Linked DNA regions of Caenorhabditis elegans. The protein of the gene in region 1 interacts with the protein of each later gene in a pairwise test. Each region holds a gene or a part of one and is shown on either strand. Other genes may lie near its edges. The genes, in order: ceh-18, K03B8.4, dcp-66 and ceh-54.

Region 1 (4,920 bases):
GGGTCATGATACTTATTGAAAAATGCTGCAGCATGATTGGGTCAGCCAACCTACTTTCTTTATTTCCAGAGGTCTCTAATTTTGAAAAAAAATTGAGGATGCTCAAAAATGTTCAGAGCTGCTGTAGTTTGATACAATTTCAATGTGAATATAGAAGTTATGAAAATTAATTACAAAAGTAAAGGAAAAAAGAACTGAAAATACATTCAAAAATTTTGTTTTTTAATTAAAAAAAAATGATAAAATGACCTGACTGAACCTTAATCCAAAATTAAAATACTACGAAACAAAAAATTTTTACAGCGTGGGAAAAGTTGGAAAACGTGAGAAGAAAAGGCTTGAAATTTAACAAATTTTAGTAATTAGAAAATACACTTTTGTGCTAAAAAGGTATGTATAAAAAGTGAAGCAGTTTATATACAGTGGCAGTCGCTGAAAATAGTTAGCGACCGTCATCTCAATACTGTTTTTTCCAAATATCTTTTCGGTCAAAAATGATAAGGAATATCTAGTTGAATCAATTTCTAAAGTTATTTTTACGATATTTTTTTAGTTATTTCTTTATGAAACGGTCATGAAAATAGACATTAAAAGTTCTAATAAATAAAATTTAGAACATTTATTCAAAAATGTTAATCTTACTGTTTCGAGCCCTTTCTTAAAATTAACTATGCAGAATTTCTAGATACAGAAGAGTAAAATAAAATAATATGTACACATTAACAATAACAGTAAAAATCTATGTTAAAAAATAAATTAAAAAAATACTTTTTAAATAAGACGATGGTTTAAATTTTTATCCATATTTGAAAATGTAATTTTTGAGACAGGCAACAAACTGGTTCGTTTGGAATTTTGCACTAAAAACTAAAAATTGTTTTTTCCCTAATAAGATGATTAAAGATAAAAAATAGGATCATGCCCAGAACAGTAAATTAACAGTTTAAATTAAAATTTTTATCTTGACGAATCACTAAATTTCCCAAGATTTCGCCTAAAAAAAGGACCAATATGAAAAGTTGAAAACACAGAACGACGCGGCTCGGCTTTCTCCTCTGCCTACTTTTAGTTTTGTCCTACATCATAAACAAGGGCCAACTCCCGAATCTGCTTATCTCGATACCCGCATCTCTTTTCCTTTTTAGCCACCCCTTTATTGCATTATCCCACACTTTCATTGCACTGCTTCATCTTGAGAAAGCAAATGGATGCGATGGGCTGGGATGGCCGAGTTGAATTGGAAAGGTCTGATTTTGGGTCCGATGAGAGTGGAAAAACATTACTGACTAATTTAGATGTGTGGTATTTTATAACTATTTTCATAGCTTTTTTAATCATTTTAGTATATATAAAGTTTTATGAAACAGCTTAAATTTTTTTTTTCACTGATTGCAAATAAAAACGTATTTGAGAAAAAAGGTAACTTTAAAAGCCAATTGGAAAGCAGTTTGTTTTCAAAAGACTCACCTCTTCTTCCTCTTCTTCGACCACTTCTTCTTCTGGGATTACTTCGTCTTCAGTGATGATCCTCTTCACCGGTCGACTTTTTCGTTTGCTGGCTCCCGACAAAGATGGACTGACACGTTCTGTGACAAGGCAACCACCATTGGCTTCTGAAAAATGTGCACAAGAAATATGGAGCAGCATCTAGTCAGAAAAGTTCCTTTTTTGAGCAATCAGAACATGTTATCTCATTTTCACGATGCCAATCAAATTCGCGCAGAAGTTTTTTTTTTCGAAAGCTAACATCAACGACGCTGAACTTGAGTTAATCTGTGTAAGTAGTGGAACGCGAAAATAAGGACACACGGAACGGTGATCAATAGATCAAGTTTTGATAGTACTTTCACTACTGTGATTTTTCAATGAAATGATAAACTTTTAATTGATAATTTGGAGTTACTTATTTTGTGTACATTGTTCTACAAATCAACTTACAGTATTTAATAACTGATCAACGTTTCAGTGAATGTAATTGTCAAATAACTCATTCTAACAATTTTTATAATACTCTAAGATGGCCGAATATCAAAATAGAACACTCCATAATTATTTTGGTGAAAATTCAAGAAAAACATTTGAGCATTGCTACACTTACATACATGTTTTCAAAATGTTAGGTCAAAACTAAATTTTAACCACTCTTTGACTGTAAAAAAATTGAAAATTCTTTCAAAATGTTTACTGTAAAATTTTTAGCGCTATGAAACCGCTTTTTAAGTGTAAATGAGTTTTGGAAAATGTTTACCGTCAAACTTTAAATTTTTACAATTTTTTTGAAAAGCTGGTAGCGTAACATTGGAAATTAATTTTTGTCTGAAGTGATTTCATATCGAGTATCCAAAATTTATTTTAATGTTTTGCAAGTATTATAATTTTTTGAATTTCTGACAATTTTCTATACAGAAAAATGCATTCAAAAATTCAAAAAAACTTTTGACCCTTATTTTCTCAAAAGTTATTTCTGGAGTTGTTAAAACTAAAGTTGATAATTTTGAGTTTGCTACTCCAAAAAATATTTAATTATTTTATACATACCATTTCGATTTTAGTATACACATGAATTAGTTTCTTAATGTACATATATTTCATTTTCAGGCTCAAAAAACAAGAAAAAACCCAACAAAACTGTTTTGCTCAAAAGTGCAAAAAGTTTCACTTTTTCATCAAAAAACCCATACAATTTTTGAAAAACGCCTAATTTTTTTTTTTTTTTACACAAGTGAATTTGGATTTTAAAACTGCAAAAAAAGAGCATCTGACCAACATTTTTAAAAAATTGTTGCGTCCAGGTAGACAATCATCGCCTATAACATACCGTTGTCATTAGCTTTTCACGAAAATCAGTCAAAATGAATTATTACAGCAACGCGCTTGATTTGTGACCAGACTCCGAAGAGTCGACAATTAGAAAAAGAAACGGATATTGATAAAGCATCACCTACCGAATACTTCTGCGAGAAATTGAAACGTGTTCTCCAAGGTGTTCATATTTCTTGCATTGATGATATGTGTTGTGAGGATGATGATAGAGACTTTTTACGTCTGAAACAGAGACACTGTTGGATAAGACCGACAGAGAATGTGGTTTTGATAGATGAAAATTAAAAATAAATCGAAACTGTATAAGCTGGAAGGTGAATGAAGGTATGACGAATCAGAAAAGATTGACTGAGAAAAGAGAATCGAGATAAACAAAATGTAATATTCCGTCAATTGAGAAAAGAAAATGAAGAATGTGTTTCATGTGAGCAAATCGGCGGCATGGATCAAGCGAAACGCGTGGGGGCCACTCATTGCCGACGAGGGTGATCGCATCGGCGATTCAGGAAAATGAGCCACCCTAGAAGTTGTAATATTGGCATAAAATCAACCACTCTCGGGGTGGGGAGGAAAAGCCGAGCGGCACCTAACTAGCTGACAGCCAAGCGTTCTAGTGCGACTTGTGTCTCAGTATTTTTCAGCCAATTGTCGCATGCGCCTAATGATTCGATCTGATTTTTCTGCGGCTACTGCTGCATCGCGTTCAGCTCTTCTTGTTATGATAGCTCTCGACGAAAAATGTGGGAGAGGAAGAGAAAAATAAAAGAAATGAAGTGAATTTCGCATAGGACACTTTGTTTAAAACAATTTTCGAGTCCCTGTTTTTCGCATCACTTTTCTTCTATTATCTAAGTTATTCTAATATCTAGGAACGAAACTAGGGTAAAATCTATCGCGTCCTAATTTGAAATTTAAACTTCGATGTTGCCGAACTGTATGAGATCATAAAGAAAATTTGACTGATAAGCTTTGAATAACACATTAGAGTATTAAAAAACGCCAAATTTGCATATGATAAGAAGAGAAATTGGTTCTGTAGCTCCGAGAGTGCCTATGTTTGTCACTTACACATCATTTTCTGAAAGTATTTGCATTCTCACTGTTGAGAAAATTTCTAGTTGAAGCTGAAAAAACAGTTAGCTCTGTAAAAATGGAGAATGTGAAATATTCAAAAAAGATTCTTCGAAATACATCTTGGAGATAAGATGATATGATATCTTGTGTATGAGGCTCACTCTTCCCGGCCATTACACTACACATTCATTACCTAGTCTTTTGAGCACCACTTGGCTCATGAATTCGAGTCTTCACAAAATTACGTAGGATGACAGACAACACAACTGCTAACAAAAAAGACGACGCCCCGCCGGCTTGTTCGGCAGTCAGGCACCGAGGCATTTTTGATTATCAAAAGATTTTTGATGGATTTTATTGAGTGATTGATTGTGGGGGGATAAAATGTTGATTCGGGAGGTGTTGTTCTGTTTGGCAAGAAAGAGACAAAGAATTGGGAAGGAAAAAGGGATAAGACGGAGAATAGGTAGTAGTATGAATGAAACATGGAGAAACAGATGCGATATCGAGAGGTCATCAGCTTAACGAAATGAGCATTGACACATGAGCCCTAAAGTTGAGGCAATTCGAAACGTGATGTACTTCTCTTGATTATCTATTATCTTTTCCTACAAAGTCCCCATTCCTTCAAAAGCTCCATTATCTTTTTTTGTTTTCAGCTGTACTGTAAAACGAGGAAATGTGGATGATCGCACTGGTCGGATTCATGTTTAGCCAGTAAAAGGCAAAAAGGCATTGCGGCGGCCAGATCTGTGGGCAAAACCGCGCAGTTGTTCAAATATGCATATTAGATGGCGTCGATTTGAAACGACGGTGCTTCTAGCGCTGCTCCTGCCCTGCTGACACTCTGGATATACGACATTTGCCTATGCAAGCGAAAGAATGCCGTTTGGCCGGCTCCCCCCAAAAAGCCAAATGGCTCTATGAATAATCACAATGAAGTCGTGGTGGACATGTATGTAGTCGTTGCATGGTCCCAAGGAAAAATGAATAAAAAAGTTGGTGAATGGCGGAGAAAAATGA
Region 2 (2,782 bases), on another chromosome or scaffold:
CGCACAATTTTCGCGCGCCGAGCGCATTTCTTTCGCACACACTACGCGCCCGGTTCGATTTTATTCTCGCTCCCGCCGATTTTCATATTGAAATTGAAATCTTAGATTAATAAGAATTGCATTTATTACAACAACGAACAATGGAAAAACAATTAAAAAATAAATTAACAGATTGAAGACAGCTTGGCTGCAGGCCAATTGATCCCTAGACGGCGGGAGACTGGTGTTGCTGATCATCATCCTCTCTGAAAAGCTCAAATTAATCTATTTAATTAAGTCAGTATATTGAAAAAATCAATGAAATATCTTTAAAAATAGACTTACACAATTATGCCCGTGAAACGGCAACTAGAGCAACCTATTGCTTCAAAAATGTTTTGATCAAAAGCTACGTATTTGCAAATATGTAGCTTCGCATCTTCAAAGCTCAAAAATAGTCTCATCAATTTTTTGTTACTTAATTTAATTCAAAGTTATCATTTCATGGTTTCCTATATGTCATTTTGTTATTCGTTTAATATTTTACATTGTTTTACTAGCTGGTTTTCTTTAGCAATAATTCGTTTTTTCTTTACCTGTTTTGAGTCCACATACTTCTTCTTTTTTGGCAATGGAGCCTTAATTTGATCGAACACCAAGATTTGCTCCAATTCATGTCGCTTCTGGTTCACCTTTTGGAACATGTATCTGAAAAAAAACTTTTTAATTTCTAGAACCCCCGAAAAACATTAATACCTTTGAACTCCTTCCTCTGTTTCAGGTCTCACGTAGGATTCAGCGAATCTTTCGGCTTCAAGATCCCCGCTCAGCTCGTTCATAGTCTTCAGGTCCGAATTCTGGCTCATCACCCAGCTTTTGATGAATTCTGCGGGCTCGGTGTAGAATCTTGCGTAGAAATCGCGGCGAGCCTTCAGTTCGTTGATCTGTTCGATAATATCATAACACTTTTGATCAAGAGTTATATCATTCCATAAATCACTTTCATTAATCTCATTCTATTCACTCTGGAATAGCAGGAGCCGCAGGCTGCTCATCGAGAAGTGGTGTTTCTCGAACATAAGCCAATTTTGGACGGATTGTCGTTCGTGTTGCGCGAACGGGGCGCGGAAGGGGTGCGGAAGGAGTGCGGAATGGGCGCGGATGGGGCGCGGTCAGAACGCGGACGGCGTGCAAAAACAGTTTCTCTTCGCGAACCTGTTACTTTCAGACAGCCTCATTGCCAAAACAGGTTGATATATATATATATATATATATATATATATATATATATATATATATATATATATATATATATATATCTCTTCACTTATATGTTATATATGTATGAATGATGTAGTTGATATATAATAATTGCCAATCTAGTCTCTTTCAGCTTTCAGTAATATGGTGCCACAATACTAAACGTATAAAATACAACAACGAGACATGTGATCTAGAAAATTAGTTTGAAGATGTTCACACAAACTACACATATCTTTTATATCTTTCTATTGGAAAATATACCTGGCATTTAGGGGCAACTTTCTTAGGAATGTGTGCATCGTGCCTCCACAATGCCAATGCTGCGAGTTTCCTAATGGAGACATTCTCAAGACATCGCCTTAACTTTATCTGCATAGGTAAAATGAACATATTTTATAACGTAACATCATTAGATAACAGTACGATTATTGATAGATTTTAATACAATTTCCTTGTAAGATGAACCATATTGTTCTCTTCTAACCTCATATCAGAATTTAAATTGAAGTTTTGGTTTTTCAGTAACTAGCATGGCTGCAAAACGTTTACAATTAACGTATAGAACAAACACAATTCACTTTTGTGTGAAAATATGTCTCAAAGCAATAATATGTTCGCAAGAAATTGATTAATACATCTTATGTAGACACTTTGGCAGTTTCAGAATACTCTTTTCACAATCCGAGCGCGCCTGTTCCGCACTCCAGTCACGCCCTATCCTCGCGCCAGGCGCATTTCACCTCTTTTCGCGCGCCAGTCGCACCCCCTTCGCGCCCCAGGAGGAGCCAACTACCGAGTAGTGCAAAATTATTATATTGCTTTGATTCTTCATTCAGTAAGTTCTATTATATTTTGAAGTAGTGAAATACAACTTATAAACATGTACTTTGAGGTACTGAAAAGCGAGAATTGATGCTTTTCTCCATGAACTTCATATCTTCACAAACTTGCGTGACTTTTGAAGAAAACTGTTCAATTCCTAACAGGGTCCAACTTGTTAACGGTAAAGGCTGTTCATCATACATTGGGATGAATAACATAGTACAACATCTAACATTTAACGATACGTGCATAGACGTGAGTTTTTCTTTCATTTCGACATACATATGTATATTTCCGTTTCTCGGCGTTCACGACCAACTTAATGTTTATGTGTTGCCTTAACAGTGTGAAAAAAGTGGATTATTTTCTGGTAGTGGTGGGCATTTTCTAGAAACTGCAAACTATTTCCAACTAAATCAATCATTCATTTCAAGTGATTCAAGGAAAACGTATCACTTTATATTTGTTGAGGTCAAAAGTTAGACCAGAAGTTACCGGGAATGTCAAGATAATTGTAATGCATTGAAAATGTTTTTTTTTTTTGGAAAGTTTTCGATGACAGGTACAGAAAACAATTTTTCAAAACTCGAAAATTTTCCAAACACGGCACACCGAAAGAATGATAGACAGATCTCAATCACATAAACTTTCAGTTTGGAACTGCTGTTCATGAATTAATGCATGCATTAGGTGTTATTCACACCCACTCTAGACTTGA
Region 3 (7,717 bases), on another chromosome or scaffold:
CATAGAGTTTCGAACCTAGAAGTGTTCAATCAACACCGAATTTAGATTCAGCTCCCGACGTGGGGAGAGTGGTTGCGATGTTGGCAGAGCAAGTAGGACATGATGATTAGACGTTTGAGCATATTCAGTTGGACAGCTGCTGCCGTCTTGGCACCACCTATATTGAATCCCAGTTGGGGTCAGGTTCGGGCCGTGTGAGATGGAAAGAGAGAGAGAAAGTAGGGAGAGAGTGAGTGTGTGCGTTTTGTGTGTGTGAGGGTGTGTGTGTGTGTGTGTGGCCGAGTGTCATTGTTCGAGTAGAATGAAGCGAAACAAGAAATAATCGATTGACTTATGTGTCCTCCTCCGCCTTCCTTCATCTTCTTCGTCCGTCCGTCCCCGTCCGTCCACGCACCCTCAGCCGCTCCTAGTGGTTTTCAATCTTCATCCTAGTCTTCATCAGCATCATCGTCGCCGTCATCTCAATTTGTTTCTCACGCGCTTAATGTTTGTATTTGTGAATGTGCCAAGTACTACCACCGTACTTGTCGGTGCAAGACACCACCATTTTAGTGTGTTCTAGAACATTTTGTAAGAGAAAAGAAGTCCACAGCTCTTCCAAATCTATTCCAAATATATTACTTTCAGGACTGAATTTTCGCTAACATGGTTTTTGGTGGATTACCGTTTCATGAATTCCAGACTATCCTAGGTTAAATTTACGGAGACTTCACCTAGTTGCGTATCTCCAACCTAATTATGATCCTTGAACCAATAATTTTGTATTGTTTCTCTAGCCTGCAGTACAAAATTAGTTAAACCTCATAGTTTCGAAATTGGTATTTTCACAAAATTCGCCACATTGTATTTTTCTTTAACTATAAAAATTCTACGATATTACCATCTGCATTGCACACAAAAAACATTCTTTTCCAATACTGTGACTTTAAAGGGGGTGACCATTTATTCGAAATGGTCCCGCCACGCGCTCTAGCGTGGCGAGACCATTTCACAAAAATGCGCTCTCCTTTAAAGTCGCAGAAGTGTAGAAATTTTTTTAAATTTTTTTTCGAAAAAAAAACACTGTTTGTGTCGTTTCTTGTTGACCTCTGCTTCACTAAACGATTTTTGAATAAAGATTTGTTCTTTAGTAGATTCTGACCACAAAGAACCCAGAAACCTGTGAATATTTCCAAATATCAGTATCTCAAAATTGCTCTAATCTTAAATTGTTTTGTATGGAGTTTCGCGAATCTTTCCAGTACGGCCTAAGCAAAACTAGCAAAACTAGAAAAAGAGTTCAACTCTCCACCACGGGAAATATGAATAACTCTTGGAAAAATTGACACGAAAGTAGTGTGGTAAAGTAAAGTAGAAAGTAGAAAGTAGGTGGCTTTTGATGAGTTGTAGATGATCACGTTCATCAAACATTTCAAAAGAAAAAAAAACTTAATTTTTCCCATGATCATCTCAACCTCCTTCCCTTTTTTTCCCTAATAACATTTTGCTTTTTTCTCTCACTATCTGCGTATCTTCTTTCTATCATCATTCCCCATTTTCTCTGCGCTCTCTTCTCTCTCTTATTGCTTTTATATTGGGTGAAATGATGTGACGTCACACGGACACCACCTCGTTTTGGATATTCAAATCTTTTGTTTTACTAATCTGCGTCTCTTTCTTACACTACACTATAAGTGCCGGTGACATTATAATTTCAACTTTTATTCCAGAACAAACTCAACACTAACTGATTGCTGTTGTTCTCTTGGACTCCAATGCAAGCTCTCGACGAACGGTGTTAATCGATTTTTATTTTGCTCCGCTCCACTTGAGTTTTGACTGGATTCCATTTATTTAGTATTTATATACAATAAATATGGCACAGGTAGGTGTTTCTATTTACAGTTATATTAAACGAACTCAAAAAATATTTCGTGTTTGGAATATTCAAATTTAATATTTATTATGTCAAGTAATTTTCATTAAAAATGGGGTAGCGAGTTCGATCAATCTAAATACTAAAATTAAAACTTACTGAATTCCGAATTCAGTTCACAAAAAATAACAAATTTTGGAGAAGACTGAAGGTTTACCCTAATAAATGAGAAAATAAGCATTTTCAGTCTATTTTTGGACAGTTTTAGTGTAATTTTAAAATTTTTGCTACCTCAAATTTAGTTGAAAATTAGAATCTTAATTGAAAAAATTCGAATAACTTTTTAAACCCAATGTTTTTAAAGGTTCAACAAGTTCCATCGTCACCTATGAATGGGATTCCTGAAAAGAATGGAAATGGTTTGAGTATCGAAGAATCAGCTTCAACAGCCGTCGCTGCACTTGCACATATTCAAAATGGAGCTGTTCTATTTCATGGAACACCTACAAAAGATTTGAATGGAGCTTCAACATCAATCGATACCGATGATTTACAACTTTCACCGAGTGATCTACGGCGGCGGAGTACACGAGCAAGTGCTCTGAAGGCTCAGGAAAAGATTAAACTGAAAGATGATATTGTACAAGGACCACAAAAACGGGCGAATGATGATGATGATATGGAAGATGAAGAGTTGGGAGATGAAATTAATGAGCAATCAGCTCCAAAAAAAAGAAGACTCGAAAATGGAAAAGAGTTTGATCAAACATGTTTCCGATTTGGACTTCGTGCGAATAATGAAGGTGAAGTATACGCAATGACTGATGAGAGTGAAAATTCTTCAATTCATGAAAGTGAAATGGAAGTTGTGAGGTATCATTATGAAAAAATGAAGAATAAGGAACCGGATGAGGAACAATTAAGAGAACGTTTAAATATGAGAAGAGAAGCTGAAAATCAGTTACGAGAAGAAGAGGCAAAATTGCTAGTTTTGAGAAAAATGAAGGATAGTCAGACAAGAGCTATCACCAAGGTTCGTTTTCTTCACTATTCGAGAAATAAAAACGCCAATTTTAGATAAAAGTGTAACTTCACAAATAGTTTAAAAAAATTTTCATCATAAAACTCGCAAAAATTCCGGATTTTTGCCCTGAGAGAATTGTAGTTAAATTTTCGGCGAGTTATGATCTGAGAATAGGAAATGCTTCAAGTTTTATGCTGATAAAATGTTTCATTCAAAAAACACACATTTTCAAAAAAACCGACAAAAGTGAAGGAAACTCTTTGTGAAACTGAAATCTGTATGAAATAAAAATAAATGATCAAAACTTTTTTGTATTAATATTTTTTCCAGCTGGCCGCCGAAACTAAAGCTGCTGATCTTGCTGAAGCGACATCTGCAGCATATAAACCAGCGGTTGCTACAAATGGAAAATCTGTTACTAATGGAAAGAATTCGATGATTGAGTCAAATAACAAAACAATGAATGGACTTAAGAATCTTTCAATTCCACAACAACTCGAATTACTTCAAAAACTATCATCTCAATCACCAGCTGCCAAACAAGCATACATTATGGCAAAGAAGAATCCAGCACAAACGACTCAACTATTCCAACAACTGATTACAATCAATAATCAAAATCTTCAAAAGCAAAAAGAGCTTTCTGCTGCTGAAACAAATGCTTCTGCATCTGCATCACCTGCAGTACAACAATCTCAACAAGCACAGCAACCACAACAGGCTCAAATCACACAATCAAAACTTCTAAATCAACAGACACCTGCACAAAGGATACAAGCAGCTCGGCTGGCTTTCAGAGCTCAAGCTGATAAGCAATTGACAACAATTCCAACACAAAAAAGTCAACCTCATGATATCACTTTCCTACCGAATCCGAATGCTTCTGCATTCCTGGCATTGCATGGATTGGATCTAGTGGTTCAGCATGTTCTCAAAGATAGATCTAATGAGACGTGAGTTTTTTTTCAAACTATGATTTGTTAAAACACATTGTGATCACGGGTGTCGTCGAAAAAATGTGGAGACTTTTTCAGAAATATTCGGAAAAATTGTTGAGAAAATTAACAGACAATTTCAACAATTTGTTTATTTTGATTTACTTTTTTATAAAACAGGAAAAATTACCAACGTTTGAAAATTTTTAGATTTTTGGTTTTGATCAAAAGCGAAAAACGAACGCTTTACGGTTTCAGAAAAACTGAATATTTCAGAATCATTTCCGGAATTACTTTTTCTGTTCCGGCTCGTATCACATTTCATACAAACAGTCAAAATTTCAAAAATTGTTGAGTTTTAGGTTTTTGAGCCAAACTGAAAATCGAAACACGAACATTTATAGAGTTTTCGGTTTCCTGTAAACGAAAAAAAATCAGACCGGACTTTAATTTCTCAAAAAATGTTTGATAATTGCATTAGAAACTAAAAACCTCGAAAGTTTTAATGTTCAAAATTGAAATGTTTTCATTAAAAAAAAAATTATATTCAGACCATATGCCGGACCATCATACGAATGTGAAGAATGTAAAACCGAATGTGCTCACACTTGGAAAGCTATTGGAAGTACACAAGATGATCTTCATCTTTATTGTGAAAATTGTGTACGATCAGCACAAAAAAGGAAAAATCGAACAGATCAGACAGCTTTATTGAAGAGAGCTTTCCAGAAGATTACGGCACAAGAAAAGGTATTTATTTCGAAATTTAACTGATTATTAAACGAATTAAAAGTTATTACAGGAGTTCGAAAAGAAAATTGCCGAAGGACAATTGGAGCAGTACGCAGAAGCAAAAGCTGCAGCACCTGCTACATCTCGTTAGTTTTATTATTTGAAAGTTAAAATAGTAATATAAAAGTATAAAAATTGTGTCCGCTATCTGAAAAAAAAACTAAAATGATCTAAATCATATTAAAATTATGAAAAGAATTAGTTTTGAAAACTATAGATCTTTGCACTAACTACAAAAAATAGGGTTTTTGTATATCATAATTTAAAAAAAAACCAATTATATAATTTTAAATAAAATTTCCAAACAAATTTTTTCCGACAATTCTTCAATTTGAAAAATTTTAATACAAATATTTTCCTTTTTTTACAAATATTTTGCTAATCTATAGTTTTTTCTTCTTTCAAAAAAATTTCGTCATTTTTTCCCGATTTTTCGACTTTCAAAAACGCAATATTTCTGTTTTTCGGTTTTTAAAATTTTCTCTGAAAAACTCTAAAAAATCGAAATTTTTTAGACGACGATCGACGCCTAAAGTCATTGTCACATTAATAGTTGAACAGTTTAATTCCAAAAAGTTGGGACTAATACACACGTATTTTTAAAAATCGTTGTATTGCTGTTAAAAACTTTTTAAAAAAATTCAAATTCCCCGATGCGAATAAAATTAAATTCAGAAACAATACCAACATCATCAACAGCAACTGTTTCATCAATTCCACTTGTACCACGATTACCACAAATTCCATCATCAACTGGATCAAGTACACCAACACAAGCAGTCAAGACGTCAACACCGGTTAGATTTTTATTTTCAAACCAAATAATTCAAAATTGAGGAATATACCTGGGAAAATATTTTTTACAGTTAAAAAAGTTCAAAATACAACATTTCCAAAAAGACATATATTTTATGAGCTTTTTATTAAAAATTTATAACATTTCGCAATTTTCTAAATTCGTGTATAATTTTTTCATGCAAACAGAAGAAAATAGGCATTGAAGAAGCTTGATGTTACTTTAAAAAATTAGTATTTCTAGACATTTTAAGTAATATCAAAAGTTAGGAAAAAACAATTAATTTTGAATTTTCAGATACACTCGACACCAAAATCATCAAGTTCAAGTGCAAAGAAGACTGCAGCACAATTGCAACAACAAAGTATGCAAGGAATGAATCAATTATTCAGTACAGCAATGTTGAGAAATAATCCTCAAATGCAACAAATGGTATCACTTTTTTTTGAAATTTCAAAAAATAAATCCTTTTCCAGTTGCAAATGTACCAAGCTTTAGCTATGGGAGGAGGGGCGGCAAATATGGCAAATAATCAAATGGCCATGCTATTCCAAGCACAAGCAATGCAAGCTGCTCAGGCTCAAGTCGCACGAGCTCAGGCGGCAAAAGCTCAGGCTGCACAAGCTCAGGCCGCACAGGCTCAAGCCCAGGCACAGGCAAATAGAGAGGCGAATCAACAATCAATGCTAATTCGTAAGTGTTTTTTGGGCGATTTTGTGAAAGATTTAGAACATTAAAAATTGTTTATTACGAGATTAGAAAGAAAAAATTGTGATTTTCCATTGTTTTCTGGTTGGAATATTAACATTTCAATCTACAAAATTGATCGAAAAGAAATAAGTTTTAAACATTTCAGAAGCTCTCATGAGTAATGGTCAAGTGAATGTTCAAGCTCTCCAACAACTTCAAAAACTGACACCTGAACAACAGAAAGCGCTGATCGAAGTTGTCAAACGTCAAACGAGGAAGTGAAAATTTCAAACTTTTTTCGGTTTCTTCAATTGATATTTTATTTCTACTTTTCCTCTATCCACTACCGACAACATAACAAAACTTGTTTCTGATTGAAATCCGGGTTGTTTTTGTATGATTTTTTGTATTCAAATATGATTTCTCGGCATCTCTCTCCCTCTCTTTCTCCTACACTTTTTAAAAATTTCCTTTTTGCAAAATTCAGACGAAGTTTCGAGAAAATCTGAAAATCCACGTGCTTTTCCATCACGGTCATTCTCCATTTTCCTGTAATCATATTCCCATCGCTTTGATTATTTTTATTTCCACAATCGCCACCCCCACCCCCACTATTATCGATTAGTATCCCTAACTTGTAACTTCCAAAAAATTGACGGTTTGTACCAAATATGCTTCTTCTCTTATAGTCTTGATTTTGCTCACTTTTTTTGATATTTCAATTTCAGTGATGTTCAAAGTTCAGATTATATTTGAAGAAGTATACATCTTTAATTCCAAAATTAGAGGGTGTTGAGTTTTTTTTCTAAAACTATCGAACGGATGTGGTTTTATAATTTCTAAATTAAATAACTATTTCGCTTTCTTTTTCCCTTAATTTCCCCCTCTCTCGTTCATATTTAACTTATTCTTAAACCGTTTTTTCTTTTCCTCTATCCACTACCGACAACATAACAAAACTTGTTTCTGATTGAAATCCGGGTTGTTTTTGTATGATTTTTTGTATTCAAATATGATTTCTCGGCATCTCTCTCCCTCTCTTTCTCCTACACTTTTTAAAAATTTCCTTTTTGCAAAATTCAGACGAAGTTTCGAGAAAATCTGAAAATCCACGTGCTTTTCCATCACGGTCATTCTCCATTTTCCTGTAATCATATTCCCATCGCTTTGATTATTTTTATTTCCACAATCGCCACCCCCACCCCCACTATTATCGATTAGTATCCCTAACTTGTAACTTCCAAAAAATTGACGGTTTGTACCAAATATGCTTCTTCTCTTATAGTCTTGATTTTGCTCACTTTTTTTGATATTTCAATTTCAGTGATGTTCAAAGTTCAGATTATATTTGAAGAAGTATACATCTTTAATTCCAAAATTAGAGGGTGTTGAGTTTTTTTTCTAAAACTATCGAACGGATGTGGTTTTATAATTTCTAAATTAAATAACTATTTCGCTTTCTTTTTCCCTTAATTTCCCCCTCTCTCGTTCATATTTAACTTATTCTTAAACCGTTTTTCTCTCCTTTTTCTGAATGTTCTTAAGACTTAGCGTCGTCATCTATTCATGTGATTTTCTTCTGTTTTATGAAAATTGCCCTTCTCTCGTGCAAAACGTTCCATTTT
Region 4 (4,827 bases), 2.3 Mb from region 1:
TTTTTAAAGTTTCAATTGGTTTCTTTAGTCTGTCGCCCAATTATAAGTGGTTAAATAAGTTTACGACTAATATTGAATTCCTTAGATTTCACTTATTTTAGTGCTGATAATAATTAACTTTTGAATAAATTGTTTTCAATACAGGAGAAAACAAATGTGGTTCACAAATACCATGAAATTTTCCAGAGAAGTTGATGAAGAAGTGGCGTAATGAAATGATCGCATATTGTAGTGAAATATATTAAGATTGGTTAGTTTTTTCTTCAATCAGAAAGTGACGATTACTATTGAGTAATCGTCATTATTCTGGAAATCGGCAAAAAACCAGTTTTTCCACAAGTTTTTTTTTTGAAGAATCAGAAACATTTCAGAGGGTTTTGTTCAGATATTTATCTTTTTGTGTCATTTTAAGACAAAATCCTCATTTTTGATACTCCTTTAAGAATGCATTTGTTTTACCGTTTTTTAAATATTAAGTTTTGAATTTTTACACTTGCTGGGTTGAGCACATATATCTTCCGGAAACTTTATAAAATCATTCACAAGTGGTTTCATTTTGCAAACTGAATAAATTGGAAAGAGTTAGCATTAAAAGTTTCGCACTTTCCGCATTGAATTGATCCTCGGATTCATAATTGTTTTCCGAAGCATTTTTGTTAGCATTGATGATCATGTTCAGAGTGTTTGAAAGAGCCTGATCTGGGAACAAATTGACGCTTTTAGTTCCAATTTTAGGTGCCATTTCAATTGAAACAAGAGTATCATTAGATAGGTTTGAAGGGCCTAAATTTATAAACCAGGTGAATACGTGTAATTGTAAAAATGTGATATTTACCTGGAGATGATGCACTTGTCAAAGTAGTGCAATCCTGAGTTTTTTCTTTTTCACCTGTAGGATTTTTAGTGATTGAAGGTGGCTCGTATGGATGGCCAGTTTGTTTCTGCTCTCGACGATACTTTGCACGACGATTTTGAAACCAAATCTAAAAATTATTTATATAACTTCACGCCTTCCAAAAGTATCGAAACTCACTTGAACTCGCTCCTCGTGAAGTTGAATTTTGTTTGCCAATTTTTCTCGGCTCATAGTGTCCGGATACTGATTTTCTGCAAACACCTTTTCCATCTCATCGATTTGATTTGCATCAAACGTTATTCGGTTCCGTTTCTTTCTGTCAGGATTGAAGTTATTCGATCGTTTTCGCGTGATCTTTTTTGTAGTTTCAAATTGGGTGTCATTAAATTGAATTTTGCACAAAATGTCTTGCAGTGAAGGCGAAATTAAACTCTGAAATGCAAAATGTTTAGTTTTGTCTAAGGCCAGGGGGGAAATGACTAAAAACCATTCAGTTAGGCACTAAAATGCCCAAATATCATTTAAAAAAATTCAAAAATGATTGGAAAATGTTTTATTTTGAGTCAAAAAGGGGTGACCGAAATTGTAGGGATTCAAAAAAGCGACAGTGCTTCAGATTTCGCGACAAAATGCACTGACCCAGTTTTCCCCACTTTTTGAGTCGAAATAAAACATTTCCAAAATTTTTGTCTAAAATATTTGCATGAAGTTTAGTCCTTTTTCCACTCGGTAGGCGTATGCGCACATACCGCGCACTTTCCGAGCGGTTTAATACATTTGTTTTTAATCCGCTCGGAATGTGCGCGGAATCTGCTCAGAATGTGCGCGGAATGTGCGCATAATGCAGGGCAGTTAAAAAATGAGGAACACCAAAACGCAATGTGCGCGGAATGTGCTCATGATGCAGAGTGGTGGTGTTTCACTGCCTTTCGCTTGCAGTGTATTTTGATTGCCAGTGTCCTTGCTGCGAATTGAACCTGTGATGTTTTCCCTGAAAGTCTGAAGTCTTACCTGTTGAGACATAACGCATGCGATGTTAATAGCAGTTAACGCGCCATAAATATAAGCAAATGAGAAAGTCAATGGAGAAACATAGAACTAACGATAAAGCATTTTTGGCACAGTAATTCAATAATAAAGGATTTCTCATTGGCTTTTGAACTTGTTTTTCAATCACATATTTATGGAAAAATGTGAATTAAGTATTTTTCCGTTTTTAAGCGTTAATGTGATTATTTTACTAGAGAGAAATCATGTCAGCGCATTTTTATACTTTCATGGTAATTTAGAAGTCTCTAATTAAGTGAACTTTTTGTTCTAGAATTCTTTCCAGAGATTCACAGATAATTCAGTTTTACAACAGCTACATGACAATTGATTTTTCAATCAGGTCAAAAAGAGACTTTGTGTGATTGTAAAACTTCACAACCTCTTCAATTTGACTCCTGGGAAAACATTTGAACGCTTTCTTCTCCAGTATACATTTTCCCCCTAACTATAATAGTAAGCACATATCTAGATATATAGTTTTTAATTTGAATCACAATTTTGACTTTTAAAATGTGGGACATTATGCAGTTGTAAATCAATAACGATAGACGGCGTATATTTACAACCTGTTAACCCAAATATAATATTTCTGAAAACATATTTCAACTCTACAGTGACGTTGTTGGTATTTTACAACTATTTCTGTCGAGAATGTGCATCATTTCAAAACGAACTATGAATGTTTCACAACGTTATTGATGAATTTTTGGTTGGAAACAATACGCGGATTTGTTTTTGAATGAGAACTATTAAAACCATTTCTCTTGGCTCTAATTTTCAAATATCAGAAATACTATTAAATATAGACTCGGACATAAAATTTAAACAATGCTATAATAATTTAGAAAGCAGAAATTGAGCATTAGTTGTAGATTATCTAAGTCAATGTGCGCAGAATCGGCGCGGAAGTTGCGCGGAATATGCGCAAAAGACTAATGGTGGGGAAAATGGCCACATCGAAGGCAATGTGCACTGAATGTGCGCGGAAAGTGCGCTGAATGTGCTCAGAATGCATGATTTCTGGATGAAAAAACACACCAAAACCAATGTGCCCAGAATCTGCGCGGAAAGTGCTCAAACGGCTAGCGGTGGAGAAAATGGCCACGCCAAGGGCAATGTGCGCTGAATGTGCGCGGAAAGTGCGCGGAATGTGCGCATACGCCTACCGAGCATTATAGAAATGAGTTTTCATAATTTCCCCGCAGACTATACTTGACCTTTAAAATTATTGATAAAGGTGTGAGAACGTACCTTAAGTTGCTCCATTTGTAAAATTTTGATTTTCAAATATTAATAGAAGAACAAACTGAAAATTATTAGATTTTTAGCAAATAGATAAAATTACAAATTTCATTAAAAAGTTAATCCTCCAAAAAAACCAAAAAGATCGCCTTAAGTCTATTACGTACAAATTTACATACAATAAAATGTCAACTAAAAGTCAGAAAAATATAGGCTTATAGTGGGATTACGGGATCAATAATGTTATTTCAAGGTGTAATGGCGTCAACGGCGTATCCTGTGTTATGTAATCTCCCTATCACCAATAGTATAGATAATGCGCTTATTCAAAGTGAGCGGAAACTTTCTGTTTCCGGAACAGCAAAAACACACGAAAAGAGTGAGCATCGGAAGTAGTTGTCGAGATATTATGAAATTCTAATCTGTTTTAATAAAGAGATGCTGATATATATTGTACAAAATCAAATGATTATTCAAAAACATTTTCATTTAAAAACAAAATTTTCAAAAAACACTGGAAATCTTATACTTTTAAAAAATGGCAAAAATTCATCAGTATATAATACCAATCTGGTTTGCTCAAGAATCTGGCTGAAAATTATACTGAAACCAGAAGATATCATGCAAATCTCAGAGCATATAGAGAAACAAAAAGGGGTAATTTGTACTAATAGTGGCACGAGGCAAGTAGTTTCTAACCTGAATTCACTCTGTGACAGGTGTGATCAGAACTAGGACGTGTTCGTAATAATGTAGTCAAAAAATTCGAAATATTATATTTTCATACTAAAGCTATAGTTTGACGACAACGACTTTCGGATGTTCATTGTCTCGCGCTTACTGCAGATTAAATTACAAAGGTTATAAGATCTGTGAAAAAAGAGGAAAGAGAACACGGATGTTTCCATTTTAGTCTTCATAATGGTTTTCCCGCAGTAAATGTCAATCCGATGAACCTTGACGATTAGCATAATCTCCACGCTGATGAGCAGAGTAATGATTTATGAAAGTGGATGAATATGCTTATTAGATTTCAAGTTGAGCATATACGAGCAAGAGCTTGATGGAATTAGGCTATTGCGGGAAAACAGGAAATAGTCCTTTAGTTTCTGGTGAAACCAAGCGCCCATTAGAAAATTCTATGAACAGAAGTGAAGCCATTGATAATGTGGCCTATTAAAAGTATTCCCTGAAATTAATTATTTACCGCCAGAAAAACTAAAATACTTATTTATGTTGCACAACAAAATAAGTATTGCGTTGTCTTATTCAAAATAACTCTGACAAATGAGAAATAAAAAATTGATACTAAAATAGTTTTTTTTTCAAAATCTGAAAATCAAAATGTATAACATTTAAAATCAGATTTTAAAAGCACAGAATAAGCGTTCAATTAAGAATATTTTTAACGAAATGGTAGAGTTGCAAGCTTTTTTATTGCACTACATAATTCAAACAGACTTTGAGATATTAAATTTCACATTATAGATTTTAACATAATTTTTAGAGTTATTTCAAGATTAATTTTCAGTGGAAAAAATTGAAGACGCGTGAAAATTTTTTTGAATTTTTGGTTTCAGAAAAATAAAAAAGTGGTAAGGATTGCTAAAATCATCTATTTTGTCATACTCTGCCGGAAATTGATTTTTATTTAATCACATTCCTTTTCCGGTTTGAAA

What was found.
Region 2: the proteins of ceh-18 (region 1) and K03B8.4 interact in a two-hybrid assay, tested with the Caenorhabditis elegans proteins (one large-scale study listed by BioGRID).
Region 3: the proteins of ceh-18 (region 1) and dcp-66 interact in a two-hybrid assay, tested with the Caenorhabditis elegans proteins (one large-scale study listed by BioGRID).
Region 4: the proteins of ceh-18 (region 1) and ceh-54 interact in a two-hybrid assay, tested with the Caenorhabditis elegans proteins (one large-scale study listed by BioGRID).

What each region holds. Positions count from the first base shown.
Region 1 is NC_003284.9:3,854,753-3,859,672, forward strand, and holds the start of ceh-18 (Homeobox protein ceh-18), read right to left. Parts: upstream 3,046-4,920; 5' UTR 2,992-3,045; coding exon 2,946-2,991; intron 1,615-2,945; exon of another isoform or gene 1,614-1,614; coding exon 1,468-1,613; intron 1-1,467. UniProt on the Caenorhabditis elegans protein: Directs gonadal sheath cell differentiation and function. Also directs gonad migration and plays a role in specifying the differentiated phenotypes of epidermal cells during postembryonic development.
Region 2 is NC_003283.11:11,394,280-11,397,061, forward strand, and holds K03B8.4 (uncharacterized protein), read right to left. Parts: upstream 846-2,782; coding exon 736-845; intron 688-735; coding exon 507-687; downstream 1-506. Other genes in the region: Zinc metalloproteinase nas-18, read left to right, coding at 2,155-2,319, 2,718-2,782.
Region 3 is NC_003279.8:7,536,150-7,543,866, reverse strand, and holds the start of dcp-66 (Transcription factor dcp-66), read left to right. Parts: upstream 1-1,707; 5' UTR 1,708-1,855; coding exon 1,856-1,864; intron 1,865-2,219; coding exon 2,220-2,888; intron 2,889-3,209; coding exon 3,210-3,832; intron 3,833-4,365; coding exon 4,366-4,564; intron 4,565-4,607; coding exon 4,608-4,692; intron 4,693-5,281; coding exon 5,282-5,403; intron 5,404-5,699; coding exon 5,700-5,834; intron 5,835-5,878; coding exon 5,879-6,095; intron 6,096-6,258; coding exon 6,259-6,374; 3' UTR 6,375-7,717. UniProt on the Caenorhabditis elegans protein: Transcription factor which binds to the 5'-CCATACATTA-3' motif found in the promoter region of pgp-12 and activates its expression in the excretory cell.
Region 4 is NC_003284.9:6,191,070-6,195,896, forward strand, and holds ceh-54 (Homeobox domain-containing protein), read right to left. Parts: upstream 3,173-4,827; coding exon 3,158-3,172; intron 1,289-3,157; coding exon 1,034-1,288; intron 984-1,033; coding exon 836-983; intron 784-835; coding exon 536-783; downstream 1-535. Other genes in the region: T13C5.9 (DUF282 domain-containing protein), read left to right, coding at 1-54.